4 linked regions of the Elephas maximus indicus genome follow. The protein of the gene in region 4 purifies or fractionates together with the protein of the main gene of each other region. This does not show direct contact. Links are inferred from orthologs where the notes say so. Each region holds a gene or a part of one and is shown on either strand. Other genes may lie near its edges. The genes, in order: EIF3B, HHEX, ANGEL1 and EIF4E.

Region 1 (7,133 bases), on a different chromosome or scaffold from region 4:
GCCCACTGTGAATTCTCAGCAATCTACTCCACCTCAGGACACGTAACCTTTGGGTAAAGGGTTTGGACTTGATAAGCAGCTCCCATGCCTTCACTAGTTTGTCATGTCTTTCCTGCTTTTTGAGGTAGAATGTCTTTTACCTTGTGAAAAAAAGCATAACAAAATAAACGGTGACAGTAGCCCTTTAAGAAAACACTTAAATGAAGAGTTGACAACTCTATGCCAGCGTCCTAAATTTTCCTCTTCCTTTCACTTGTTAGGAATCTATGTAATTCTGACTCAATCTATGTGATTGCCAGCACAATACCACACAAAAAAATCTATGTATGTTAATGTGCTAACATCTAGTTTTCTTGGTGTATGTATCAGTGGCTACTTCTACAGCCACTACTTTACCATAAACTAGTCAACACGTAGAGGGATCCATTGGTGAGCTTGGAGAGTTAAAACGGCAAAAAAAAAAAAAGAGCAAACCAAAAACTAATGTAATCAGCTATCAACAACTCTCAGGCAGCAGAAATAAAGCCTGTAAACCTGATCAAGGTAGAAACCACCGGAAAGCAAGCTATAGCTGCTTGTTGTTGGGAGCCGCTGAGTCCATTTCAACTCACAGCGACTCCATGTGACAGCAGAATTGCCCCATAGGGTTTTCTAGGCTGTAATTTTTTTTTTTAATTTTTATTGTGCTTTCAGCGAAATTTTACAAATCAAGTCAGTCTCTCATACAAAAATTGATATATACCTCGATACATACTCCTAGTCGTTCTCCCAATGAGACAACACACTCCTTCTCTTGACTATCTCCATGTCCATTCAGCCAGCTTCTGTTCCCCTCTGCCTTCTCATCTCCCCTCCTGACAGGAGCTGCCCACACAGTCTCATGTGTCTACCTGATCCAAGAAGCTCACTCCTCACCAGTATCATTTTCTATCCCATAGTCCAGTCCGATCCGTAACTGAAGAGTTAGCTTTGGGAATGGTTCCTGTCTTGGGCCAACAGAAGGTCTGGTGAGCATGACCTCCGGGGTCCTTCTAGTCTCAGTCAAACCATTAAGTCTGGTCTTTTTACAAGAATTTGGGTTCTGCATCCCACTGCTCTGCTGCTCCTTCAGGGGTTCTCTGTTGTGTTCCCCGTCAGGGCAAGTCATTCGCTGTAGTGGGCACCATCTAGTTCTTCTAGTCTCAGGCTCATGTAGTCTCTGGTTTATGTGGCCCTTTCTGTCTCTGGGGGTCATAATTACCTTGTGTCTTTGGTGTCCTTCATTCTCCTTTGCTCCAGGTGGGTTGAGACCAATTGATGCATCTTAGATGGCCGCCTGCTAGCGTTTAAGACCCCAGATGCCACTCTCCAAAGTGGGGTGCAGAATGTTTTCTTAGTAGACTTTATGATGCCAATTGACCTAGATGTCCCCTGAAACCATGGTCCCCAAACCCCCGCCCCGCTATGCTGGCCTTCGAAGCATTCAGTTTATTCAGGAAACTTCTTTGCTTTTGGTTTAGTCCAGGTGTGCTGACCTCTCCCGTATTGTGTGCTGTCTTTCCCTACACCTAAAATAGTTCCTGTCTCCTATCTAATTGGTGAATACCCCTCTCCCTCCCTCCTTCACCTGTAATCTTTGAGGTAGCAGATCACCAAGCCTTTTTCCTGCAGAGCAGCTGCTTTGGTTCAAATTTGAGAAATAACCTCCCAACACAAGAACGGTGGCTTGCCTGACACATTTAGGAAAAAAAGTAACCACAACGGGAATTTGGCAAGGTCTGCCTTGCACTATCCTGCGCAGGAAATCTCCAGTCAGAAAACCAGTGGAACAGGGACACACCAATCCAGCTCTGCCACAACCTGCACTTCCCAGTCCTGCGGGGAAATATCCGCAGCCACCTCTACAAGTCAAAACCTGTGTCAGCCCTAGGACACCTGGACCAGCAACCCTGAGGTCTTGCCCTTGGACCATGGGAAGTCAGTCCAGGAGACCAATCCAGGAGAGTCCTACTTGGCTCTGCCCCCAATGGCTACACATCAGTGTGCACTGACATAGCCTCCTGTGTAGGTACAGTCTGACAGCCGCCCACCACCGCGATCCTGGATTTTTGGCTGTAATGCAAATAATAGGTTCCCTTCTTTAGGGACCCCTGTATCATTCTGACATATTCTTAACCCCAAAGAAAGCGATAGTAGGCTCTCCTAGAAAAATTCCACTACGCACTGGTGGCAACAGTTGGGAGACAGTGCCACCTCCCTCGCATTTCTACAGAGCCTGGAACTTGGGCACAGGCACATCACATGTCACCGAAACTTGTCATCTAAAGTCAATCTCCAACACTAGCTCCCTGACCCTTCTCGGTTAAAAAGCCTCCTTTCTCTACGTCGGCCACAGGTCAGGGAAGGACAGCGGGCCGGGGACGCACCTTCCTCGCTCACGTCGTCCACGAAGTCCTCGGGGTCGCTGAAGGAGGGTTCGTCCGCGTCACCGTTCTCCAACGCGCGTGGCTCTGCCTCCGCCGAGTCCCCCTTGTCCTCACCCGCCTCTTTCGACGACTCCTGTGGCCGACTCTCGGCGGCCTCGGCTCGGGACTCCTCCCGAACCGGGGACTGGGGCTCCTCCCCGGACGGCGGCAAGGGGGACTGGGACGAACCCGCCGGATAGCTGGGGACCGCGCCCGCTGACTCCGTCTCCTTCTCCGCGGCCGCCGGCTCTGCCTTCGCTTTAAGCTCGGGCTCGGCCGCCACCACCGCCTCCTTCTTGGCCTCGGTCACCGAGTCCGCCGCCCCCGGAGCCCCTGGCCCCGCGGGCCGCAGCGGCTCCTCCTCCGGCGGCGGCTCGGCGGCGGGCTGCTGCGCCCCCGGCTCGGTCTGCTCCTCGGCCGCTCCGGGCGCCGCCACGTTCTCCGCGTCCTGCATGGGCCCAGGCGCAGCCTCCCTCACCTCAGGGTCCGCAGCCGCCGCGCTTCCGACTCTCCCAGGCCGCACCGCGCGTTCGCCGGCGCCTACTCTCTAACCATGTGCGATCGACCCGGGCAGGTCCGCACCACCGCGCCCACTGCGGGGGGGGCTTCCATGCCTTGACCCCGCCTGACGTGCTGGGAACCACCCAAGCTCGGAAGTGTGCCTATCAACTGTCTGAATAACATTTTTACATCAAGTAACTATTCAATTCCAATCCACTAAGTTTTCTTCCTCATTAGGTAAACTCATTAGGAGCTATAACCACCCCCGTTTGTGGTAGCGGATTGGTTTCACCCAATATGGCAGCCAGCCCTTCCTGCTCCCATCAAGCGCTTCGGTGAAGGACGGAACTACTTGTGGCGCCGAAGGGAGGTCTCAGAAATGATCTTTCTATGCGGAATTATGTGTAAATATAGTTTGACTCAAAAATTAATACTAGAGAAAGCCATAAGTTCAACCAACGATTTGGTGTGATAGCCTAGCTTTTAACCGGACAAACCATTTAGCTTATATTACGAAACTCCCCTTTACATACTGGTTTTTAGTTTCGCCTACTGACTGGGCAAAAGAGCCGACGATTCCAAAATGAAATAAAATATGGTGTTAACAAGAAGCAGCCAAAACTACCAGAAAGAATATTTCCCGGCCCAATACAAAAATTTGAGAGTTGCTTTACTCGCTTACGCCCAGCTGCACTTGTAGCGGCCGTAACACTGCTCTTTACCCATTCTGGCTTTCACGATGGTTCGGTCCGCAAGAAACTATCGCTCTCCGACCCGGGAGCGGGTCACGTGGTTCAGGGGGGTGTGGCCAGAGAAGTCAAGAGACACGTGAGGCGGGAGGAAGACGCAGAAGGTCTGAGCAACGACGTGGAGACAGGAGGGGCGGAGTTTGCGACAAGGGTGGCTCAGGTATTTATCCACAGACTCGAGGCCAACCACTGATGTTTTCATCATACAAGAGTTGTGCAGTTGCGTAATACTGGGTTCGATTCCTCCTCCTGTCAACTGTAACCTTGGGAGAATCTCTGAGCCTCTGTGCCTCAGTTTCCTCACCTGCAAAGTGAGGGGTGAGTGGCTCTTGGAACCTTTTCGAGCTGTACTCCTGCAGAAGGTGAATGAGTTTCACTAAAGACCAAAAGAATCTTCTAAATTTCTAGTTTCGTTTGCAGTTTTCTTAAATCATTGCCAACCGTTTTCTTCTAGAAAGTGCTAAAAGGTGATAAACCAGTGAACAAGGAGGTTGTAGTTTATAGTTTGGCACCTAGGTGTTTCTCAGATAGGAAAGACTTCTATGGCATGCTTCTATTGCAGAACTAGAAAAAAAGTCAGTTTTCATTAAGTTGATTCTGACTCCTGGCAACCCCATGTGGGTCATAGTAGAACTGGGCTCCATAAGGTTTGCAGTGATTGATATTTTGGAAGTAGATCGTCAGGCCTTTCTTCCGAGGCACCTCTGGGTGGACTTGAACCTCAAACCTTTCCTTTAGCAGCAGAGCGTGTTGATAAGTTTGCACCACCCAGGGACTCCTTGTAGCAGAGTAGCAACTCATGACTCTTCCAGTGAGTGAATTTGTCATTTTCTTTTCTGCAGGGAAAGTTATGAACACTGTCATGATGCAATAAAAAGTATTTATTATCTCTTAGTATTCTAGAGGGGAGTCCTGGTGGTCTGGTGGTTAAGAGCTAGGCTGCTAACCAAAAGTTCAGGAGTTTGAACCCACCAACTGCTCCTTGGAAACCCAATGAGCAGTTCTTCTCTGTCCTACAGAGTCACTATGAATCAGAATCGACTCAATGGCAACAGGTAGGATTTGGGTAGTGTTCTAGAGGAGCCCTGGTGGCATAGTAGTTTAGCGCCACAGCTGCTAACCAAAAGGTCGGCAGTTTCAATCCACCAGCCACTCCTTGGAAACCCCATGGAGGCAGTTCTTCTCTGTCCTGTAGGGTCAGTATGAGTTAGAGTCGACTCATTGCCAATGGGAGAATTCTGGAAAGGAGCCCTGGCGGTGCAGTGTTTAAGCGCTTGGCTGCTAACTGAAAGGTTGGCGGTTTGAACCCACCAGCCGTCCGAGGAAGAAAGATGTGCCAGTCCACTTTCATCAAGATTATAGCCTTGCGTCTGGGGTCTTAAACACTAGCAAGCGGCCACCTAAGATGCGTGCATCAATTGGTCTCAACCCACCTGGATCAAAGCAGAATGAAGAACACCAAGGGCACAAGGTGATTACTAGCCCAAGAGACAGAAAGGGCCACGTAAACCATTGGCTACATCAGCCAGAGACCAGAAGAGCTAAATGGTGCCTGGCTACAACCGATGACTCCCCTGACAGGGAGCACAACAGAGAACCCAAGGGAGCAGGAGAGCAGTGGGATGCAGACCCCAAATTCTCATAAAAAGACCAGACTTAATGGTCTGACTGAGACTAGAAGGACCCCAATGGTCATGGCCCCCAGACCTTCTGTTGGCCCAAGATAGGAACCATTCCCAAAGCCAACTCTTCAGACAGGGATTGGACTGGAGGGTTGGAGAGGGATGCTGGTAAGGAGTGAGCTTCTTGGATCAGGTGGACACTTGAGACTATTTTGGCATCTCCTCCCTGGAGGGGAGGTGAGAGGGTAGAGGGGGTTAGAAGCTGGCTAAACGGACACGAAAATAGGGAGTAGAGGGAGCAAGTGGGTTGTCTCATTAGGGGGAGAGCAATTGGGAGTATGTAGCAAGGTGTACATGGGTTTTTGTGTGAGAAACTGACTTGATTTGTAAACTTTCACTTAAAGTGCAAAAAAAAAAAAAAAATAGCCTTGGGAGCCCTATGAGACAGTTCTACTCTGTCCTATAGGGTTGCTATGAACTAGAATCGACTCGACGATGGCAGGTTTAGTGCACTAGAGAGAGCATCAAGACCATCAGCAGTTGCACCACCCTCAAAAGTGAAAAGCACTGCAATTGCTATTCAAATTATGTAAGCGCCTGCTCTGTGTTGGTTATGCAGTGGTGGGTAAAGTGTGCTGTGTTAGAAGTACAGCTCTGTAATGGGAGCAACGTTCATTAATTAAAGCATCACAGAAGTGCAAAAATATGCCTGTGATTTAAAAAAAATAATTGTCAAGGCGACTCCAACTCAGGGTGACGCTATGTGTATCAGACTGATCTTTCAAAGTAGATCACCACGCCTTTATTCAGAGGGGCCTTCAGGTGGCTGGACTCCAACCGCCAACCTTCTGGTTAGCAGCTGAGCTTGTTAACCGTTTGCACCATTCAGGGACTCCACATCTGTGATAAATTCATGAAATTTTTGACACTCCTCCCTTCAAAAGGTAAAGCCTAATTCTGCTTTTAATGTGGATAGACAGTGACCAGCTTCTAATGAACAGAATGTGGCAAAAGTGATGCTAAGTGACTTCCAAGTCTAGGTCATAAAAACGACAAGCTTCTAGCTGGCTGGCTGGCTGTCTCTCGGATCACTGGCAATGAAGGAAGCTGGCCAGCATGTTCTGAGGGCACTCAAACAGTCTGTGGAGAAGCCCACATGTGGAGGAACTGAGGCAGCCAACCAACAGTCAACACCAAATTGCCAGGTGTGTGAAAGAGCTACCTTGGAAACAGATCCTGCAGTCCTGGTTAAGCCATTAGATGACTGCAACCTCATGAGAAATCTTGGGCCAGAAATACCCACCTAGGCCACTTGCAAATTTCTCACTTGCAGAAACCACAAGATTATAAATGTTTTTTATTTTAAACCCTAAATTTTGGGGTAATTTGTTGTACAGCAATGGGCAACTAATAAAATGGATTTATATATGATAACTTGTGTAGTTCCTAAAACATACTGTTAAGTTTCATAAAGATTAGGTTGCATATTGATATATACAGCAGAATACCGATTAAGAAAAATGCACAAAGTTATGTTATAGATATTACATGGGTAATATAGATAAAAATGTAAAATATGTAGAAAAAGACCTGGAAGGATGCACACGAAACTGAAAGCAGTAATTGATGAAAGTGAGTGAAATTGGTGGTGTTTTTCACAGAAAAAGTTAATTATAGGATCTAGGTGGGGTGTTTGTATGTTGACTATAAAATTAAACTTTTCTGTGTGGTTGAAAATTTTTATAATAAAATGTTGGTGGGGGGAGGATTCCAGTCAGTGTCAGAAGACCCCCCACTGAGGCAATTTGTGCCTTAAA
Region 2 (7,278 bases), on a different chromosome or scaffold from region 4:
AGCCAATTAGGGGCTGTAGAGCTGACCAGCGCTCCAGACGTTGCACAGCGCGACGGGCGGGGAGGCGCACAGCGGCTCCTCGTCTTCTCCCGTCTCTCTTCCGCACGTCCCCCCCGCCCCCCGGACCCCCGGCCCCCCGACCCCCCGAACCCGGCCTCAAGAGCCTTGCCCCCCGCCGGAGGCGGTCCCAGGCTCCGGGCGCACTCACCTGCCTCTCGCTCAGCTGCAGCATCTTGGCCAGACGCTTCCTCTCGGGCGGCGAGAGGTATTTCTGGGTCTCGAACTTCTTTTCCAGCTCGATGGTCTGATCGTTGGAGAACCTCACCTGGCCGCCTTTCCTTTTGTGCAGCGGCCTCTGCAAGAAAGGACTCCAGAGCAAGGGTTTGCCTGCGGGCAGAAGTAGCAGCACTTAGCGACAGCCCTGGAGCGCCTAGTTCCGAGGGGGTGACGAAAGGGGGAAGCGCAGGAGGACACCCAACCAGACAGTTCACATACACCCACAAGCACACGCACCGGCACATGGGCCCAGCAAGTTCGCACTAATACACACATATACCCACAGGCAAACACCCAAAGCCACACACCTAGACTGTATATACACATATGCACATACACGCCCAGTCATACACCTACACTGCATATACACACAGACCACCCTGTACACTTTAACGCACACAACCATCACATCACAGCTACATACAAACACACAGATCCTTTCATCTCTAAAAGAACGCCCACTACAAGTTGAACTTAAAACACCACGATCCTCTTTTACCAGTCGTTCTCGATTTTATACACAACTTTTTGCACCCCTAGGTCCTCTCCCTCGGTAAACTGCACTTTCCGAATACTCGGGTGTCCGCGTGTTGAGGAAAAGCGGGGCTGGAACACTACGCAAGGCGTTCGCGACCAAGGGAACCACGAGGCTCGCTGCGCGGGAAGCGCTGGGGCCCGGGCGCCCGAGTTAGGCCGTGCGTGGAGCCTCCAATCCCGGCCCGAGGGCGCCGCGGCCTCCTCTGATTTCACACCCGGTCCGCGGGGGCGGCCAGTTAAAGCCACCCCGTGGGCTATGGCAACATTTCCGTCAATGTGTTTCCTGTTGGTCTATCTCGAAAAACCCTTTGCTTCCTCCTGCGCAGTCCCACCAGTAACCCAAGGAAACCCAGAGCGCGCTCTGTGCAAACGTTTGCCCCCAAGCCCAGCCCCAGTGAGGGTCCCGCTGCGGCCCCAGCAAACAGTGCCACTGTAGTGCTGCTGCACCAAAGCCTCGCCGCTGAAATAAAAATATACAATATAATAAGCTTAAAAAAAAAAAAAACTAAAATATAATCCCCCCAAACTCCCCCTAACAGTGGGAGAGAGAGAAAACTAGGCTGGGCTAGAGGTTGTGTCATAATAACAATGACATTATTGAATTAACGGTCAGTGTTTTCAGGGTCTTTACTGAAGCTGCCAATAACACGGGATTGATATCAGACCCCACGGCCTCCTTATCCACCTCGACGCTTCAGACCCTGGAGGCGCCAAGGGCCAATCCGGAGCGCGAATCGCGGCGCTCTCATTTCTTTGGCAGTGTACCGATGGGACAAGCCAACAAATTCTATATGCCCGCGCAGCCCATCTTATCTTGCGCCCGGGGTCTACAGCTTCCTACTCCAAAGGTCTGTCCGTCGAGCTGTGCTTCTGCTAGCCTGCGCCTAAACGCTTTGAAAGCTGGCATTGTTTTTTCGAGATTTTGCTTGCGTCAGGCTTCAGACTGGTGCAAAACAGCCTCGGGGGGGTGGGGGTGGGTAAAAAAAAAAAGGAAGCAACTGGTTATTTTAGCTGCCATAAAGTCACATCCCACACAGAGGAAATGAACAATATCAGAAAAACGGATCCCGGCTATCAGAAGTCGAGTGTTTCCTGAATTTGTCTGTATTGAGGATGTCGATAAAATAATCAGCAGCGTGCACTACTCCGGGGGAAGGGTCTGCTTCATGCAGCCAGGAAAACACTTAACAGCTTCTGAAACCAGATTTACTCCTATCGAGAACTCAAGATTTCCTGTATGAACGGAAAGGGTCAGGCTCTTTCACTGCACAAGCTTGTTGAACCAGGTCCAGCCCCGTAACCATCCGAGCCCGGCAGCTGTCCCGGCCCCATCGGGGCCGGCCCGCGGCGCCTTGGTGCCCACCTCTCCGTCCCTCCCCGCTAAGGGGGCCTCACCCTGGGCGACACGCGCGGACCAGGGCTGCCCTCGACCGCCAGCGGCGCCTGAGGTCTCGCCCAGGCTCTCGCACCCCGACGCCTGCAAGGTGCAGGAAAACCAATCTGAGTCATGGTGCGGTCAGCCCTGGCCGCGCGCCGCCGGGGCCCGATCTTCCCGGCCCCGCGCGCGCCGGAGGGCCGCTTTTCAATCGCTTTTGCTACAACTTTCTATTGCTTCCCCCACCCCCACCCCCACCCCCACCCCCGCCCCCACCCCCACCCCCACCGCCTCCCGGGCGCTGCCACCTGCCGGGTGGCGCCTTCCTCGCCGCCGCCTCGGCTCGGCCCCGCCGTGACCCCGGCCGCCTTACCCAGGGGGTCGTGGCGGAGCAGGGCGTGCGTGTAGTCGTTCACCGTCCGCGGGAAGGGGTACAGAGGGCCCCCGAAGCCGCCGGGTCCGTAGGCGGCGGCCAGCGCCGCTGCGGAGTGGTGCGAGAAGGCGGGGTGGATCGGCGTGGGCTCGTACACCGGGGTCCGGTAGGAGGACACGAGGCTGGTGAAGGAAGAGTTGGGGGACGGCAGCGTGGGGGTGGGGGTGGGCGCGGCAGGCCCGCGGCCCAAGATGTCCTCGATGTAGAACGGCGTCGGATGCGCGGGCTGTAGCAGCGGCGTGGGCGCGTACAGCGGTACCCCCACGGCGGGCGCAGCCGCCCCGGACCCGGGGTGCGGATACTGCATGGCTCCCCTGCGCCTCGGCCCCTCGGAGAGCTGCCAGCCGCCGCCGCGGTGCTACATTTATCCGCGCTCCGCGCTCCCGGCGATAGGCTCTGCCGGCCACGGGGTGGGGCCGCGCTCGCTGGCCCCTTCCTGCCGCCGGGTCCTACGGCCAATGGCGCGGGGCCCCGGAGCCGCCTCCCGCCCCTACCCTGGCCCGCCCACGGCGGCCGAGCTCCCCGCCCCGAGGACGCGCCTGTTGCCGGACTCTGAGGACCCTGCGCCCAGGTGCCCGGCAGCCGGCGCCACTGCTCGTGGCTCCTGGCACCCCGGCCGGGGCCGCCCTCGAGGAAAGTCCGGGACGTGCGTCCGTCCGGGACGGAGAGAGGAAAGCAGCTGCTTGGAGTGCGACTCTGCCGAAACTCGGTCGCACTGGTCCAAGCCCGGACCCCGGGTGTCAGCAGCGGTTCCCAGGCCAACCCAGGCGAGGGACAGCGGAACTGACAGCGTAGAGGCCGCTGGAGGGCCGCGTTTTCACAGGCCTGAGAGGAACCTCCCTGGTCTGCGCGCTCCGTGGAGTAACGGTGGCACGGCTTTTGCCCGGAGCTCTTCCTAAGCTAGCAAGAGGGAGTGCCCAGGGTTACTGGGGCTGCTCCAACGAGAGAGATCAACTGCCCTTAGCTCTGCCCCAGCGGGGTGAGGACGACTAGACTTCAGGTGCTCCAGACTCTTAGCAGCTCCAGCCTGTTTCATTTGGATACCCTGCACTCAGCCACTACCCCAGGGACGCTGGCAGAAGCCGCTTCGGTCAGGTATCAGGAGAAGGCTCGGATCTTATGCGCCGGACGGAGTCTGTGCAATCTTCTCTGACCCGATGGGGACCGCTCCTTGTCCCCTCTCCCCGGGCCCTGGAGGTTGCAGCTGCGCACAGTCCGACTCCTCCGTTTTGCACGTGTTTTCTATTGAAGCAGTGACGCTGGCCCGTGTGGCCTCGGCTCTGCGCGGCGCCACTCGCCTCCGGGGCAAGGGGGCATTTTCTTGATTGACGCCCTCCTGCGGTTGTCACACCTCGCGGTGAGCTATTTCTGCCGAGGTCTCCCTCCGCCCCTCATTAATCGTGGAAATGCAAAGACTTCCCTGGTTTTTCAGTTGAGGAGGTTTTTATTTACATCTTGAAACTGTTTCTCGTATTGCAACGGAACTGCATTAGCAAGAGGAGTGGACTGGGAGCTGAAGGACCTGAGTTCTAGTTTCATTCTGCACAGTTTTGTAGAGCACCTACTTTGTGCCAAAAGTGAACTACACATAGTCCCTGTCCTTATGGTGGTGGGAAACATTTTAACACAGTGACTTATGTATGTGCTAGGAAGAAGTTTATAATGCTTTGAAAACTTAAAACAAAGGCACACCACCTAGTGAGGGTGATTAAGGGAAGGAGGGAAAGGCTTCCCCAAGAAAGTGATATTTGAAAGATGAGTAAGTGAAAACAAGCCTAGAGTGAGAGAGAACATTCCAAGTCCAGGAAATAACATGCAAATATTAATGCAACTTTGGGCAAGTCACCGCTCTGAGCTTTCGTTTTCTCATCTGAAACATTAGGGCCTTACACTAATGATCTCTCATCTTTTTGGGGTAGGGTCACAGGCATCTCTCAGAATCTGACACAGACAAGCTCTGCATCTGTAGTATGCTGTTATTTGGGCTGCATGTACCTTTGCTCTAGGTATGTAAACTGTCTGGAAAAAGGCACAAAAAATGAATACCATTTAGTTGTATAGGAAGAGAGCGTAGGGTGAGAGGAGAATGCATTGTATACCTTTTACATACTTGGAGAATTGAACCATATGGATGTGTGACCTATTGCCAGTATAAGTAAGTCTTTGGAGAGGCTGCTGATTCTAGTTCTGGGACAGAAAAAGTACAAGGTAAGCCCAAAACATCTTGTTTAGAAGAATGGATTTTTCTAAAAAGCTATAAAAGAAATTTGGGGGCATAATGGGGAAAATCAATATGAATTGTATGTTAGATGACATTATTGTTAATTGTCTTAGTTATAATATTAGTATTGTAGGTTATATTGGAAAATTCTTTATTCTTGGGAGATTCTAGCTGATTTAGGATTTTGATAAATGCAATTTATTTTCAAATAGTTCAATGTATGTGCCCATATATACACACATATACATACATACATATATATATATATGCACACATATGTACACTTATATCTAAACACATATGTAAGGAGCCCTGGAGGCACAATGGTTAAATCTTCAGCTGCTAACGGAAAGGTTGGCAGTTCAAACCCACCAGCAGCTCTGGAGGAGGAAAGACCTGGTGATCTGTTCCCATAAAGATTACAGCCTAGGAAACCCTATAGGGCAGTTCTACTGTCATACAGGGACACTATGAGTCAGAATTGGCTCAATGGCACACAACAACAACAAACACATATGTATATATAAAGACAGAGGTAAAGCAAATACAGCAAAATATTACTCGGTGAATTTAGGTCAAGGGTATACAGGTGTGTATATAGTTCTATATACAGTTGTGCCATGTATCATCCGAACTTCTATGTAGGTTTGAACTTCTTGAATATAAAACCTAGAAAAAGTAAATATGATTTTATGTTTAAAAAAAAAGGTAAAAGTATTTGAATGATTTAAGTTTACATGGAATTTTAGATAGTGCCTTGATCCTGGGACCTGTTTGTGGAGGGCTGTTTGAGAAAAATTTGGTCCCTCAGTGGTCAGGTCTAATGTGGCCACTCCACCAGCCATAATTCTCATCAATGGATGGAGAATTCAGGCAGATGCTGAAAGACTTTGAAAGGGAAATGTGTTCTTCTTTGCTCCAAGGACAGAGACAGGCTTTGGGGACAAAGAAAGGACAGTTATTATTACCTGAAGCTTAAACATGCCTTCAAAAGATGTTCGGGTCTTAAAAGGTTGGGACTTATGTGAACTAAATATAGCAGTGATTATTTTCTCACAAAATTTCCCCCATATCTTCGATTTTCTCCTTTTTCCTGCGTTCTTCCATTTAAAAAACTTGTTGCTGTCCAGTCGATTCCGACTCACAGTGACCCTATAGGACGGAATAGAACTGCCCCAAAGGGTTTCCAAGCTGGTGGATTCAAACCGCTGACTTTTAGGCAACAGCTCTTAACTACTACACCACCAGGGCACCCTCTTCCATTTAGCTGGTAATTCAGATGACTACTCCAATTCATTTAATGTTCTTTACAGTAAATCGCTAGCCAGCCTTTATTCTCCATCTTCAAATATGGTATGGTATTATAGTACTAGTTTATTTTGTGAGTGACTCAGCCACCAGCCAAAAGGATCTAAATCTACAAAAATAAATATTAAAGTGCTAGGGGAATGACCCCTAACTAGGAAAAGGAAGCATCGTCTCTTTCTTTGATTTAGCCACAGACACTGTGAAGTGCATAGAGGTGTTAAAAAAAACATGGGTATAGCGTTCCAACTCAGCTACATAATCCTAACCAGCAAATTGAAGCACTTAATTCTTTTAAGCTATGTAACACTGCCTCTTCTAAATCCAGTCGTCAGATCTGTGTTCACTTTGCTACACTTAAAAAAAAAATTACAACCACATTTGTGAATATCACATTTATTGAACTGCATAATTTTTAATATCACTAGTGTAGGTTTTATAGTTTGTTTTATTGTTTAAAAGTCATTTGGGGCGCTAAAAGAACTAGATTTTTTCAATGTTGTCCTTATGATTTTTTTTTTCCACACAGTCAGAACTAATAAAACTAAACTGTTGTAGCTATTTAATTCAAAATCTCTTGGAGTTTCAATATTTTCTCTCTGCTGGATACTAAAACCAATAAAGCTACATGAGATTTTAATTATATTCTGAATTAAACAAGACTCTTAAAAAAAATTGGCACCATTTATTTTAGTCATAGCTATTATGCAAGTGTCCAAACTTTGTGAGAAGAGAAGGTGGCTCTCAATGATAATTTATCTAGTAGGAACTTAGGTAACTTTTTACAACTTATTCTCAATAATTAAATCTAGGTAGGGATAAAATTTCAAGTTAGATTTAGCTAGAAACCATTGATGGATTATGTAACAAGTTGGTTCTATTTATACTTACACTAAAACTTTTACTACCTTCAACTGTTGGAGTGACTAAATCATTCATTAAATCGTATGTCCAATCATTTCATTATTTTATTTAAAATGTGACAAACTCTAATTAGTGTTTTTATGCTTTACTTGCTGAATTACTCACATGATCAAATAGAAATGCCTTGTCTGTGTCATGAATGGAATCAGAGTCCTGGAACATATGGGCAGGTGTCTCCATGACACTGATGTTCTCTTCCCACATGTC
Region 3 (7,278 bases), on a different chromosome or scaffold from region 4:
CTTTCTTCTGAGGTGCCTCTGGGTGGACTCAAACCTCCAACCTTTGTTTAGCAGCCAAGCTGTTAACCTTACAAATGGTGATGATCAGTACTTATTATTTATTGTCTTCATTGTTATCATGGATGAATTGAGGTGTTTAGCTGGCCTCTTGGAGTATTTCTGACATAATGAAGCCGCAGATGGTGCCGACTGTATTGCAGTTTTCTTTTGACTAGGGAGGCTGCATGTCTCCAGGCCAAGTCTTCTTGGAATCTGTAGTTACCAGCTTGCTCAGTAATGCCACCTTACCTTTTGGAGGGCCGGAGTCTTATTTGAGCCAGGGATGTGAAAAAAGACCCTACATTAGCAATAGCCAGAGCCATTTTTTTACCATTTCAAGAAGTATAATAGTAAACACTGAGAGATTATCCTGGGTCAGGCACAGTGAGGGAACCGAAACTCAAGAGGTTAGGTAGCCTGAGAGGTTACCACAGTTAAGAAGTGGTAGAGCTTGGATTCGAACTTGGTAGTCTAACTCCAAAGCTTGTGATTCTCACATTGCCTTATACTTTCCAACATAGCTGATTATGGGTTAGAAAACAAAAAGGGACCAGCCTAGCTTAACTGGCCTCAGGAAAGACCTTTGAGAGAAAATGGTATCAGTTGGCCTGGTACATTTTTGCCCATGCATATGAACTGAGCAGCCCAGTTGAGACTGAGTCCTTTAGCGGAGGTTCTTAAACTTTTTATCAAAATAACTTGGTAAGTATTTAAGGAATACAAAATCTTGGGGCCCCACTTCAGACCTGTTAAATCAGAACCCTGGGAATGGGGTCTCTTGTTGTGGGGTGCCGTCGAGTGTTAGTTCTGACTCATAGTGACTCTACGTAGAACAGAATGAAACGTTGCCCAGTCCTTCGCCATCCTCATAATCATTGCTCTGCTTGAACCCATTGCTGCAGTCACTGTATCCATCTTGTCAAGGGTCTTCCTCTTTTTCACTGACCCTCTACTTAACCAAGAATGATGTCCTTCTCCAGGGACTAGTCCCTTCTGATAGCATGTCCAAAGTATGTGAGACAAAGTCTCACCACCCTTGCTTCTAAGGAGCATTCTGGCTGCACTTCTTCCGAGACAAATTTGTTGTTTTTCTGGCAGTCCAATGTATATTCAATATTCTTCACCAACACCATAATTCAAATACATCAGTTATTCTTCAGTCTTCTTTATTTACTGCCTAGCTTTTGCATGCGTATGAGGCGTTTAAAAATACCATGGCTTGGGTCAGGCACACCTTAGTCCTCAAAGTGACATTGTTGCTTTTTAGCACTTTAAAAAGGGCATTTACAGCAGATTTGCCCAATGCAATACGTCGTTTGATTTTTTGACTGCTGCTTCCGTGAGTGTTGATTGTAGATCTAAGTAAAATGAAGTCCTTCACAACTTCAATATTTTCTCCATTTATCATGATGTTGCTTAGTGGTTCAGTTGTGAGGATTTTTGTTTTATGTTGAGGTGTAATCTATACTGAAGGCCGTAATCTTTGATCTTCATCAGTAAATGCTTCAAGTCCTCTTCACTTTCAGCAAGCAAGGGTGTGTCACCACAGGTTGTTAATTAGTGTTCTGTAATCCTGATGCCCTGCTTTTCTTCATCTAGTCCAGTTTCTTGATTATTTGCTCAGCATACAGATTGAATAAGTATGGTGAAAGGATACAACCCTGACACACACCTTTCTTGATTTTAAACCACGCAGTAGCCCCTTGTTCTGTTTGAATGACTGCCTCTTGGTCTATGGTCTATGTACAGGTTCTGTATGAGCACAATCAAGTGTTCTGGAATTCTCATTCTTCGCAATGTTATCCATAATTTGTCATGATCCACACAGTCGAATGCCTTTGCAGAGTCAATAAAACACAGGTAAACATCTTTCTGGTACTTTCTGGTTTCGGCCAAGATCCATCTGACTTCAGCAAATGATATCCCTTGTTCCACGTCCTCTTTTGAATCCAGCTTGAATTTCTATCACTTATATGTCAATGTACTGCTGTAACCACTTTTGAATGATCTTCAGCAAAATTTTAGTTGTTTGTGATATTAATGATATTCTACGATAATTTCCAAATTCCAAATTCCATTGGATCACCTTTCTTTGGAATGGGCACAAATATGGATCTTTTCCAGTCAGTTGGCCAGGTAGCTGTCTTCCAAATTTCTTGGCATAGACAAGTGAGCACCTCCAGCGCTGCATCCAGTTGTTGAAACATCTCAGTTGGTATTCTGTCAATTCCTGGAGCCTTGTTTTTCACCAATACCTTCAGTGCCCCCCGCCAAAAAAGGTTTTTTTTTTTGGTTTGTCCTTCAGTGCAGCTTGGACTTCTTCCTTCAGTACCATCGGCTCTTGATCATATGCTACCTTCTGAAATGGTTGAACATCAACCAATTTTTAAAACATTTCCTAAGTGGATAAGGAACCATGACTTCACAAAATAATAAATTTAGTCTCTACGTAAATATCTTGTTTAGGATCAGTGTTGGAACATAGACTTCGGGGAAACTATTGGGGCAAAATGGAAGGCGGGAACAAGGAGAGTTTGTTTACTTAAGCCATTGAGTGCGTCAGTCAAATCCCACTCATAGTAACCCTATAGGGCAGAGTAGAACTTACTCTTGGATTAGGAAATCTTTACAGGAGCAGATTGGCAGGTCTTTTCTCCCACAGAACTGGCCGGTAGGTTCAAACCACCAACCTTTCAGTTAGTAGCGTATCTCTTAACCATTGTGGCATCAGGGCTCCCTGGGGACTCCTTAAGTAGAGGTAATGTTTGTGGGCTAGTTTCTAAGGGGTTTCCCAACGTTCAGATTGTCTCTGGGGCCTCTACTTCTCATCTCAGGAAAAGGGATGGGTGTTGTTGCCTGGAAGTAGATTCTGCCTATAGAGCTAAGGATAAAAAGTGGGAAGGCCACAATACTGACTCTTCTTTTTCCTTTTAGCTTTTTGGTGTTATGATGTACCCAGCTGGTCCTGGATCTGGTGATTCCCCAGAGGGCTTCCCTGAACAACCAAGGCTCCAGCCACAAATTGGAAATTGCACAGCTCAGACACTGGGTACTGAAATAAGGGAGTATTATACAGTGCTTTCTTCTTCACAGCATGGTTGGGGCAGAAGATTGACGGTGGGGGTTTGGGGAAGAGAGACTCAAAGAGACCTTTGATTAGCACAGAGTTGATGGAGGAACTGGGCTTCATTTAGTGATATATGCTTTGTTCAGTCAGTCAGCAACGGTTTATTTGGGCCCTACTATATGCCCAGCTGGAAACCCTGGTGGCGTAGTGGTTAAGTGCTACGGCTGCTAACCAAGAGGTCAGCTGCCCGAATCCGCCAGGCGCTCCTTGGAAACTCTGTGGGGCAGTTCTATTCTCTCCTATAGGGTCGCTATGAGTTGGAATCGACTCGACGGCAGTGGGTTTTATGTGCTCGGCAACCCTATGGGGCAGTTCTACTTTGTCCCATAGTCGCGATGACTCCGAATCGACTCGACGGCAACGGGTTTGGGTTTTTTTTTTTTATGTGCCCAACAATGTTTTAGGCACTAGAGAGCTACCTCAGTGAAAAAAAACGAAACAGACTTGATCCCTACCCTTGTAAATTTTTTTTCCTTGTCTCTTTTACCAGTGAGACCCCCCGTTATTGTTTTTATTTTTTCCCCAGATTAGGAAACAAGGGCCAATTTGGAACAGAATGGTGAAGGAGACAAAATCTTAGACAGAGTTAAGGTGTGGATTCAGTTTTCCACCTAGAATTTTGAGTTGGAGAAGACAATAGAGTCAGGGAAAGGGGAAAATGGGGAAGATTTCGCGCTCTTTCCCCTCTCTGGTTTGGGAAGGGATAGATAACAGTCAGGGCTGGATAGGCCTTAGTAAAAGTCCAGCCTCATTTTCCATAGCCCCTCATTTTCCATATGAGAAAAATGAAGGGCGGGAAGGTTATATGGTTGACTCAAGATGGACACCTAGTTAGTGGCAGAAGTGGGAATAAAACTGTGGCTTCTGAATAATAATATGAAGCCTTCAGCGGGACACTTAAATTTTAAACTCAGACGGAAGGCTACATTCCCAAGGCAGGCCCTGTCGGTTGCCAAGGGAATCAGCTTCCCCGCCCCTGTGGGCGCGTCCGTGGCTCTGGGCTCCCAATAAAGTTGTTGTTGAAGCGCGGTCGGCGGGAGCCGCGGCGGCGCCACGTGGGCCGAGCAAGGGGCGGAGACGGGGCGGGGCCTGGGCGGGGCCGAGCTGAGGGAGACCCGGCGGGCTGCAGTGAGGAGGGGAGGTGGCGCCCGCGGCCGGCCATGATCGCGTCTTGTCTGTGTTACCTGCTGCTGCCGGCCGCGCGCCTCTTCCGCGCTCTCTCAGGTACCGGCCCCGCGTCCGACAGGCGGGCGTCCGGCCCGGGACCGTCTCGGTTGGGCCCCGCGGGGCCGCGTGCCAGGCCTCACGACCACCGTCCCTTGGACAGTGCCAAAATGTGTGAGGCGGCCGTCGCCTCTGGCCCCGCGGTGCCGGGCTTGCCCCCATGAGGCCCGGGCCTGGCTGACGACTCTGGTGGCCCGGTGGAGTCGAGCCACGGTTAACGTGAGAGGGTCTGGGAAGGGGCAGGGGCCGCCCCTGCCTGGCCCTCGGGGTGCAGAGAGGTGCTGGGCCGAGCCCCTGCCTGGCCCTCGGGGTGCAGAGAGGTTCAGGGCCGAGCCCCTGCCCTGGGGGTTGCAGAGGGCTGGTTCCGTGGGGCTGAGGCGAGTGCCCGAATTCTCTGTGGGTAGAGGCGGATCGGCCGGGGCGAACCTGCCTTCCCGGGTTGGCCTCGCACTCTCACAGCCGCCTCTCAGCCCGCCGCGCTCAGCGGAGTTTTGGCTTGAGAAACGGATCCTCTGCTCAGGATTCAGACACATCGGAACCTCAGGGCTGAAGCAGCCTTGGTAGTTGAGGGGAAAAGGCTATTCCTTGACATTTTCATGATCTGCCCGCGCTCGCCATTCCTGGGCTTTGAGATTTCAGAGGCTCTTGTGAGACCACCCCTTCCTCTCTGAGATGCCACAGAACTCCTGGATTTTCTCGGGCAGTTTAAGGGGCGGGACCAAGAAGTACTTTTTTAGAAAAAAAAGGCATTGCAACTGTGCATTCAGTACTTTTCCCTTCTGGAGTTTGACCCAAGTTTGTATGTGTGTGTATAATTTATGTATTTCGCAGAAAATATGTTTTATATTTATTTACTTTTTTACTGTCTCAGCACTACAAGCTCCCGGAGGGCAGGGCCGTGTCTGTTTTGTTTATTGTATTTTTAGTATTACCACACTGCCTGATATACAGTAGGCACTCAGTGAATTCCAAGATGTCTTGTGTATCCAAACTTCAGAGGGGTGAGAAACTCTACGGACTTGACTGTTTTCAGATATCTAAAGCATATTCCTTTAATCATGTTGCCATCATTTCTGGAGCTCTTCCTGTGTCCATAGCCCTGGTGGCACAGTGGTTGAGAGTTTAGGCTGCTAACCAAAAGGTCTGCAGTTCAGATGCACCTAACCAAAAGGTCAGCCGCTCCTTGGAAACCCTTGGGGCAGTTCTACTGTGTCCTATAGGGTTGCTGTGAGTCAGAATGGACTCAACTGGCAGTGGGTTCTTCCTGTGTCCATGATGGCAGCTTTAGTGAAATAAACTAGTTCACACTAGTTCAGAAATTTCCAGAGAGTTCTAGGGCAGGGCTTCAGACCAGTTTGTTCTGGTTGGAGACCCTGATGAAAATTTGCATTCCCACCCGATATAGTGGGTCAGAACCTGGAGTTTAACAAGATCCCCAGGTGATTTTTATGTATTGTAAATTTTAGAACCAGTACTCTACTAGTGGCTCTCAGAATTGGTCCCTAACCAGCAACATTAGCTTCCCTTGGGAACTTGTTAGAAAGGCAAATTTCTAGTTCTAAGGCTCTCAGAAGAGGGGCCACCTCTTCTCTTGTACCCCATTGGAGTAGTTCTGCTTGTATTAACTTTGTGTATTTGACTTCTACATAGGTTTTTTTTTTTTTTTTGGTGAAAAGGTTTTGCTGCTGAAAAACAAACCAGAGACAACAAATAAATCAAAAACTCCTAAATTTGAGAGCCTGTAACCTCGTGCTTATAAACCAAAGAACCTCTGCCATCTGGCATACATAGAGAATGTTTCAAGAGGCAGAGAATTATCAAATCCCAGGAACTAATGCCCAGCAACCTAGCCCGTGGGCTTAAAGCAGGATTTCTCCATCTTCGTACTATTGACATTTTAGGCCAAATAATTTGTTGTGAGAGCTGTCCTGTACATTGTAGGATGTGTAACAGCGTCCCTAGCCTCTTACCACCAGATGCCAGTAGCACCGCCACAGTTGTGACAACCACAATACAATGGCTCCAGATATGGCCAGATGTCCCTGGGGAGCAAAATTGCCCCGGTTAAAAACCATTGGAGGTGAATCAGAGGGACATAGACCAGAAACAATATAGTGACATCTGAACCATTTTTAAATTTTTCTTGCTTTCTAAAAAAAAAAAGCTGATAAAATGAACCTCTTTACTGATTAAGAGTCAGCATTACGCGTATCACTTGTACTGTGCTGCAAATAAGGGATTTATTATGTGTGGGCTGGTTGCTTGCACCAAATTACTGTGCTTAGATTTTTGGGACTCTTAATTTTAGAGTTTTTCCTGCCTGCTTTCTTGCGGGTGGGCTGTCATTTGTGGCTGCCATAACAGAGATGACAGCTGTCTCTTCTTGCTGTCAGTTATCAGCACTTCAGATTTACAGCCTCTGATGTGTTGTGGAACGGGAAAGTTGATAATGAAGTTTGTGAAGATTTTTTGAGTATAATAAATAGCGTTAAGAGGCGTAAGAGCCTTTGCTAAGATGTAAATTGTGTATTTTGTGACCCGTTTTTGTTTATTTTAGGACTTTTTCTTTTAGAATGCTTTCAAGATTAGGGGATGCTATAGAGTTAGAAAAGCTCTTGGAGATTATCTAGTCCAAACTTGTCCAGTTCCCATTTTATGGTCAAGATTGAGTTCATCTGACTAAGGGCACTGTCCAAGGACACATAATTTTGTTAACTTCCATGGTAGATCATAGCCCACAGTTCTGATTCATGGTCAAGTGCTGGTTCCAGTGTAACTTGGTTTTTAGAGCCAGTTGATGTTAATAGGAGTCTTAACCTCCAGATAAAAGGGATGTGGGTATATCAGTCCACCTCTGTCCTGGATTATGTCGGACACCTGTTCTTTTA
Region 4 (7,036 bases):
CTTTATATGGGTACTGAACTATTTATATTTCTATGACTTAGTAAGCCAACCAGATTTTACAGTCCAACAGGGAAGTGCCTGTGCTTCCTGTGTCCTTTAAATATCCTTCAGTGACCACACGTTTGCCATTAGTAACTTAATATTTCTTGAACGGTTTCTTGTCAGTTTTGAAGACGAACTTAGAATTAAAAGTCCTTTGAGGAGAAAGAGGAGTTCTGCAAGAACCTATCAGAGGGAAGCAACTATGGTATGGAGGAAAGAAGGAATCTTGGAATCAAGAGAATTGTGTTTGAATGCAGACTTGGATGTCTCCTCTAACTTTACTAAATCTGTTTCTTTATGTATAAAGTGGGGATGATAGTGATTAATTCACATAATTGCCATAAAGATCAGATGAGGTAATTAATACGGAAAATACTTGGTATGTTATCATCAATAAAAGTTAGTTGACTTTCAACATTTGAAAGCCTGGAATACCCTCAAAGATCATGGGTTGGTATTAGTTCTCAGAATAAAAGAATCCATAATTATATTCCACTGTACTAAAAAACAGAGATAAGAAATCTGTGTCAACATAATAGTTGTTGCTGTTAGATGCCGTTCAGTCAGTTCTATACAATAGTACATCATACTAATGAAATAGGTAATATTCAGTATTTACTATGTGTTAGGAACCATTCTAAGCATGTTATATGAATTAACTCATTTATTTCTTACACTAGCCATCTAAGATTGGTACAATTATTGTGCCCCTCTAACTCATTAAGAAAAAGCAGACAAACAACAATAACAAAAAAGAGGTACAAAGAGAGTAAGTAACATGCCTATAGTCATACAGTAAATGTGGAGTTGGGATTATGAACCAAGATAGGCTGACACCAGAGCTCATGCTCTTAACCACTAAACTATACAATTGTAATTTAAAACACTATTTATCCTATTAGGGTCCATTATGTTGGGTCTTTCTGAGTGATTTTCCTATAAAAATAATAATTAAAAAAATAGAACATGAAATAAAGTAGCAAGTTTGACCAATTTAGAAAAAAAGCTGAACAAGGTTTAAAGAAAGGAATGTCAGATTAGTGTTAACTAAGGGTTGGTTTAGACTATGTCTAAAGTTACTAACATTACAGTAATAACGTTCACTTATTTATTACATAATTTCATATTTTCTATCTCAAAATCCACTCATTTTAAGAAAAATGACGGCTCTGTACTGTTCATAGACTAAGAAAGGTACTTAATCTAAACAGAATGTCTAAAATTACAAAGTCTGTCTTTAAAAGGAAAAAAGCCCTAGACAGCGCAGCAATAATATTTCTGAGGGACATACTGTAGTAATTTGAAACACAGTTGAAAAGCCTAGCAAAACAGTGACTTCGGTTATCTGCCAAGCCTAAATAAAGCTCCAATGACAAAACGGTAAATACGTAATAAAAACAACTGATGTGTTCCATCAAATTATTTAAAGTCATTTCCTATGAGTTAAATCTATTAAGACAAGTTATATACCAGTTTGAGAAACATATTATGCAGAAAAAAGATCATGATTATTTACAGATGCTAATTGATAACCGATCATCCCAGGCTTATGAATAATAGTTACCATGTTACTATGTTGGGAAATAAGTAGTTACGTATAAGCTAGATAATTTGATCAAATAGAATAGTATTCTAATATTACATTCTATTTCATAAATCTAAGCTTCGATTAACCTTTCTTTTCTCTAACTCTAATCATAAATAGGGTAGTAAGGTAACAAATGTAATTTGTTACACATTAATAGACAAAGTATAAAAGTTCTTCTCTGTATATTTCAGATCAGCAAAAACAACACAAAACTACCACATACACATACTCTTACATAAAAACCTAATCACAATGATAGGGTAGAATCTAACAGCGTTATTAAGACACATGAACGTGCCGTAAAACCCATGCAATAAAGCATATACAAAATGAAGAGAAATTACGTTATAAAATATAGGAGCACAAGTAAGTGTTCTAAAAGATCTAGGATGTTTACTAAGAGTGGGGAGTTTTGGGCCAAAGTTTGGGAGCCATTGTTCTAAAAAAAAGAAAAAAAAAGTTTTAAAACATCACTGGCTTTCATTTCCATCTGGGTACTTCCTTGTCAGCCTCCTTGATTCTTTTGTTATCTAGCACATCTATGCCTTCTCTTCGAAGAAGATAACCAGATACTACTTTTAACCAACAGAAAACACCATTAAGATCAACTGAAAATACTTAAGACAGTTTAAATAACAGAAGGTAGTCTTTAAGTAGGAATTCATTTAGACTTTTATTTTTTAGATTCTATCTACTTTAGGACCTACTTGAGCGAACCTGACTGTACAAAAGTTTTCATGAATCATTTCTGACATCCAGGTAAACCAAAACATACTAACAGGCAATGACTTTGAGTTCTTAAACATCCTCAATTATGTTAGTCAACTCAAGCATCCATTATGTACTCAACAATAGGTGTGACACAGCTCTGGACATCAGCAACACTACAAGCAGGCAGACACTGGCAGCTTGCTTACACTGATTTTCCTGGTGTTAACATTCTTAAGAAGCCTGGGAAATAGTCACGAGATAGTGTCTTTCTCATTAAAGCCTTACGGTAACTAGATTTATTTCTTTGTAGTAAGAGCCAGGCTGTGCAGAATAACACCATCTTGAGAATTAACAGCTGGGGAAGTTACCTTAGAAGGAAACGAAATGTAGGATGCTAGTGCGGGGACAAATTTCTAATCGCCAGTGATTGTTGTGAACATCATAATATTTTCCTGAACATCAAAGCCTCCATCAAAGGCACTACAATTACAAGGAAAAAAACATTCTTCAAACTTTAAAACTGCATCGATGTACATCACAATGTAATAAACAAAAAAAAAAAGAAAAGAAAAACGTTAAAAAAAAAAAAAAAAAAACCAGGGGAAGCAGCTGATCCTTAGAAAGTCACGCGGCTGCTTATTCTGAGGCGTTTATAGTCTGATGCCTTTTCAAAGCTGGTTATAGTCATTACCATAGCATACTCTTGTGAGGTAAGTGTATTACCACCTTTGGTTCATAAATGAAAAAGCCGAGGCACTCAATGCTTAAGTCACTAGCCTAAGGAGAAACCAGTCAATGTCAAGAGTTAAGAGTTGACCCGCCCAACGACTCCTGACGGTCAGTCCAGGGCTTAGTCAGCGGGGCCCAGAGTGGTTCCCTGGCTGGCACCTGGACTAGGCTATTTTCATTCACGTTAAAGCAGAATAGTGGAACCGAAAGGGCAGAGCTTCCAAATAATTTTTTACTTCCTGGAAGGATTTAGCCCTGAAGTCTTAATCTCAGGATTTGGGACAGGAAAAGCTGTAGGGTCCACTCCACCTCCCCCCCAATCAGTAGCAAGTGGGTGTTGCGGGCGGTTCCGTCCATCCCTTTTCGCAATGATGGCAAAGAATGCTCACCAGCGTTAGCGGAGCGGGGGACAGGAGAGGATTGATTGCTTAAACAACGACTTTTCATCGCCGCCTCTTTTTGAAACTAAGAGAGAAAATGGTGGGAGGTCAAAAGAAAACGAAATAAACACACAGGCCAACTTGTCCTAGGACCTCACCTAAGCAAATGAAGCCTTATTGTGCGTATTGAGTCTGCAGTTCCAACCTTCAGGGGAAGATGGGAGGAAAGGGCGACAAAGGGTACTGTAGGAATGCCTAGCAGTGAGTGCGACAGCAACTATCCAGGCGGAAGAACAGAAGACTGAAAACGACGCACTAGCACGCTAGTGTCCGCGGCGCAAAGAACAGCGCACCCACCCATAGACCACGTGACCAGCCTTTTTTTTTTTTTTCCCTTAAATGCTTCTTTGCCCTTAAAAAAAAAAGGGCGGGGGGGGGGAGGAGGGAAGACTCCACTTCCCAGAAGCCTCTCGTTACACACGCAGCCGCAGTCTTGCGCAGGCGCCGCCGGGGCCAAACGGACACGTTCGTCACGTGGACAGTAGCCGGCCAATCCGGTTTGAACCTCATTTTTTTCCTCTCACCCCCCCTTCAGGAGCGGTTGTGCGATCAGATCGATCTAAGATGGCGACTGTGGAACCGGTGAGTATTGCCTTTGGCCCCCACCCCCACCGGTCCCCGCGCTCCGTCTCCCCTCCGACTGGGGGACCCCGCGGGACGACGTTCCCGGCGCGCTCGCTACCCCTTACCGCCCCCTCCCCCTCTCCTTGGGCTTGACCTCCCCGCGGGCAACTTGGGGGCGCCCCGGAGACTGGCCGCGGCAGCGTGTAGCTCACACGTTCTGGTGGGGGCCGGAGCGCTGGGGGAGAGAACTGGGGGAGGGGCGGCGCGGCGCCTCCTGTGGAGCCGCGAGGTGTCTGCAAGGGTGGAGGGTGATCCAGGTCCTGGGATAGGTGTGTAGGGATTGTGTCCTCGGGTTAGGAGGGCCGGCTTCGAGCAGGCGTCGGAATCGCGGGGAGGGTGGGCGGCGAGCCGGCCTGGAATGAGGTGGAGGAGGGAGCCCCGGGGCAGCCTTTTCCTCTCTCTCTCGAGCCTTGGGTCGGGGGCGCGCGCGAGTCTTCCTTCACTAGACCGGTGGGCTTGGGAAGCCGGTGGGCGTGCGTTGCCGGTGAGTGGGTTGGGCGGGAGTGGTGCCGCGGCACGCGCGGGGTAGGTTCGATTTCGCCGGGGGTAGTGCAGAGGGGCGAGCGCGTGTTCTCTGGCGTGCCCGAGAGTTGCCAGGCTTGGTGGCTGGGGAGGAGAGACGGATTTGGGGTGGGGAGGAAAGCCTGGTGCCGCGCGGTGGAGCCTTCCTAATAGGATGAGGGTTTGCGGGGTGAGAAGGGGGACCACATTGTCTTCGCCCCTCCATGCTTGAGACTGGGCTGTCATGGAGGAGGGAAAGGGGAGGAGCGAGGCCTAGTGATGGTTGCTGCTGATCCAGTTGCCGGCCGGACCTGCTGCATTTCACACGCGCCTCACTTCCATTCATTCATCCTTTCCGCGCAGAGCGCACGCCTCAAGAGAATGCGGATGAGTCTAGATCCGTCTGCTGTCCCGAGTCTTTATCGTCTGGAATATTTCTAAGGAACAACTTACTGGGAATAGGAACTTAGCTTTTCAAGTTAATTTTCCATTTGGTACTTTTAAGCGTTCACAAAGGCTCTCTGCTTAATTTAGGCACCATTTTAAACTTAGTCGAAGCAAGCTGATTCTATGGCAAAGAGTTGGTAGTTAGCCACCAAAGGAGAGGGTATCTTTATCGATTTGGGTTTGCCACCTCTAGCTCACTTGAACTTCTTAGGCCTCCGTTGCTGTCTTAGGAATGTGACACCGAAGTGAAAATGTTTTGGGGGAATAATGTGAGTATATTAATAAACAGCTAGAAAACTTTTGACACTTGAACCAGTTCAAGACCTTGTTTGTCAAATTTTTGTTTATCTTTCATGGTAGTTAGTGATCTTGGTAATGATTTGCCAATTTGTTTTGACTTTTTAAGAATTTTTATAACTTTAAAAAATTCTAGTTGGGGAAAGGCCTATAGAATACAAAAAGGCTACTTTTCATTACATTGATGTAAACTTTTCTTGTTGCCAAAAGTTAAGGCATTTCTTCTGCTTGGTTACTTGTTATTTCACTGGCACCAGTTTTCATTTCTGTTTCTGGAAATTTGGTTGACTGTGAAACTGTCCCTTAAGTTGCTAATAACGATTAATTGACTTTAGCACACTAATGTTACATAAATAAAGAAGTAGGATAAATACGTAAAATTTTAACTGAATACTCCTTTTAAGAGGCTCCCATGTCCACTTTTGACACCATCCGTTCTCATATCTGTATTATCAGTGTCCTACACAGTAAAACCCTGGTGGCATAGTGGTTAAGTGCTACAGCTGCTAACCAAAAGATCTGTAGCTTGAATCCACTAGGCGCACCCAGAAAACTCTATGGGGCAGTTCTATTCTGTTCTATAGCATCACTGTGAGTCAGAACTGACTCGATGGCAGCGGGTTTGGTTTTTTTGTTGTTGTTTCAACAATAAAACAATATATTCTCTGAAGTTTTAGTAGCATTTCGGTCCTTTAGACCTTGCAGCGCTAAGCAGTTTTGTTTCCACAGTGCAAAACCACAAAGTAATGGACTGTTTTGAGTCAAATGTTCATAAAAAAAAGAAAACTCTCTTTTTCTTTTTTTTTTGCCATTAATGTATTTAGTTGTATCAAGTGTACTTTAGGATACAAGGTTATACAATATGTGATTCTTCAATGTAAACTCTTAAGGAGCTTAATTCCAAGTCGTGTGGTTAGTGACACAATATAGTATTTATTCCAGTGCTGACCCTGAGGAAATTTGAATATCCATTGCCTTGGAGTCAGTTCTGACTCATAGTGACCCTGTGGGACAGAAAAGAACTGCCCCATAGGGTTTCCAAGGCTGTAAATCTTTACAGAAGCAGACTGTCACATCTTCACCTGGGGAAGTGGCTGGTGGGTTTGATCTGCAGAACTTTCCATTAGCATCCAAGCACTTAATCACTGGGCCACCAGGGCTGCTCGAAATTTGGATAGTACATTTAAATTTCCGGAGTAAGCCAAAAAAACCCAAACCCGCTGCTGTCTAGTCGATTCCGACTCATAGCGACCCTATAGGACAGAGTAGAACTGCTCCATAGAGTTTACAAGGAGCGCCTGGTGGATTTGAATTGCCATCGTCTTGGTTAGCAGCCATAGCACTTAACCACTACACCACCAGGGTTTCTTTGGGGAGTAAAGGAACCTAAAAACCTAAAGTGTGTGTGTGGAGGTAGAAGCCAGATTGAAACTACAGCAGTTAGAAAATGTATGTTGAATAGTATTGAAGGCTTCATTTTTAATGAGAAATGCAAATTTTTAGTAATCTTAAAGCACCCTTGTTCACAGCCTAGTCAATTAGAATTCTTTTGACGATTTTAAATAGTGGGTTTTTTGTTTTTTTTAATCAACTGATTAGTATTGTCTTGCAATTGAAGTAACCATGCTGAAACCTGCAAAATCTTCATTTGCTGTTT

The links.
Region 1: the proteins of EIF4E (region 4) and EIF3B purify together in Homo sapiens (affinity purification with western blotting; 5 studies listed by BioGRID and IntAct, with this or other methods). This does not show direct contact. The link is inferred for Elephas maximus indicus from reciprocal best matches to the Homo sapiens genes EIF4E and EIF3B.
Region 2: the proteins of EIF4E (region 4) and HHEX purify together in Homo sapiens (affinity purification with western blotting; 3 studies listed by BioGRID and IntAct, with this or other methods). This does not show direct contact. The link is inferred for Elephas maximus indicus from reciprocal best matches to the Homo sapiens genes EIF4E and HHEX.
Region 3: the proteins of EIF4E (region 4) and ANGEL1 purify together in Homo sapiens (affinity purification with mass spectrometry; 3 studies listed by BioGRID and IntAct, counting the BioPlex papers as one, with this or other methods). This does not show direct contact. The link is inferred for Elephas maximus indicus from reciprocal best matches to the Homo sapiens genes EIF4E and ANGEL1.

The regions. Positions count from the first base shown.
Region 1 is NC_064830.1:96,692,419-96,699,551, reverse strand, and holds the start of EIF3B (eukaryotic translation initiation factor 3 subunit B), read right to left. Parts: upstream 3,020-7,133; 5' UTR 2,899-3,019; coding exon 2,406-2,898; intron 1-2,405.
Region 2 is NC_064834.1:43,890,898-43,898,175, reverse strand, and holds the start of HHEX (hematopoietically-expressed homeobox protein HHEX), read right to left. Parts: upstream 3,001-7,278; 5' UTR 2,929-3,000; coding exon 2,562-2,928; intron 388-2,561; coding exon 209-387; intron 1-208. UniProt on the Homo sapiens protein: Recognizes the DNA sequence 5'-ATTAA-3'. Transcriptional repressor. Activator of WNT-mediated transcription in conjunction with CTNNB1.
Region 3 is NC_064828.1:89,607,533-89,614,810, reverse strand, and holds the start of ANGEL1 (protein angel homolog 1), read left to right. Parts: upstream 1-4,272; 5' UTR 4,273-4,326; coding exon 4,327-4,390; intron 4,391-7,278.
Region 4 is NC_064823.1:54,608,889-54,615,924, forward strand, and holds the start of EIF4E (eukaryotic translation initiation factor 4E), read left to right. Parts: upstream 1-4,029; 5' UTR 4,030-4,074; coding exon 4,075-4,092; intron 4,093-7,036. UniProt on the Homo sapiens protein: Acts in the cytoplasm to initiate and regulate protein synthesis and is required in the nucleus for export of a subset of mRNAs from the nucleus to the cytoplasm which promotes processes such as RNA capping, processing and splicing.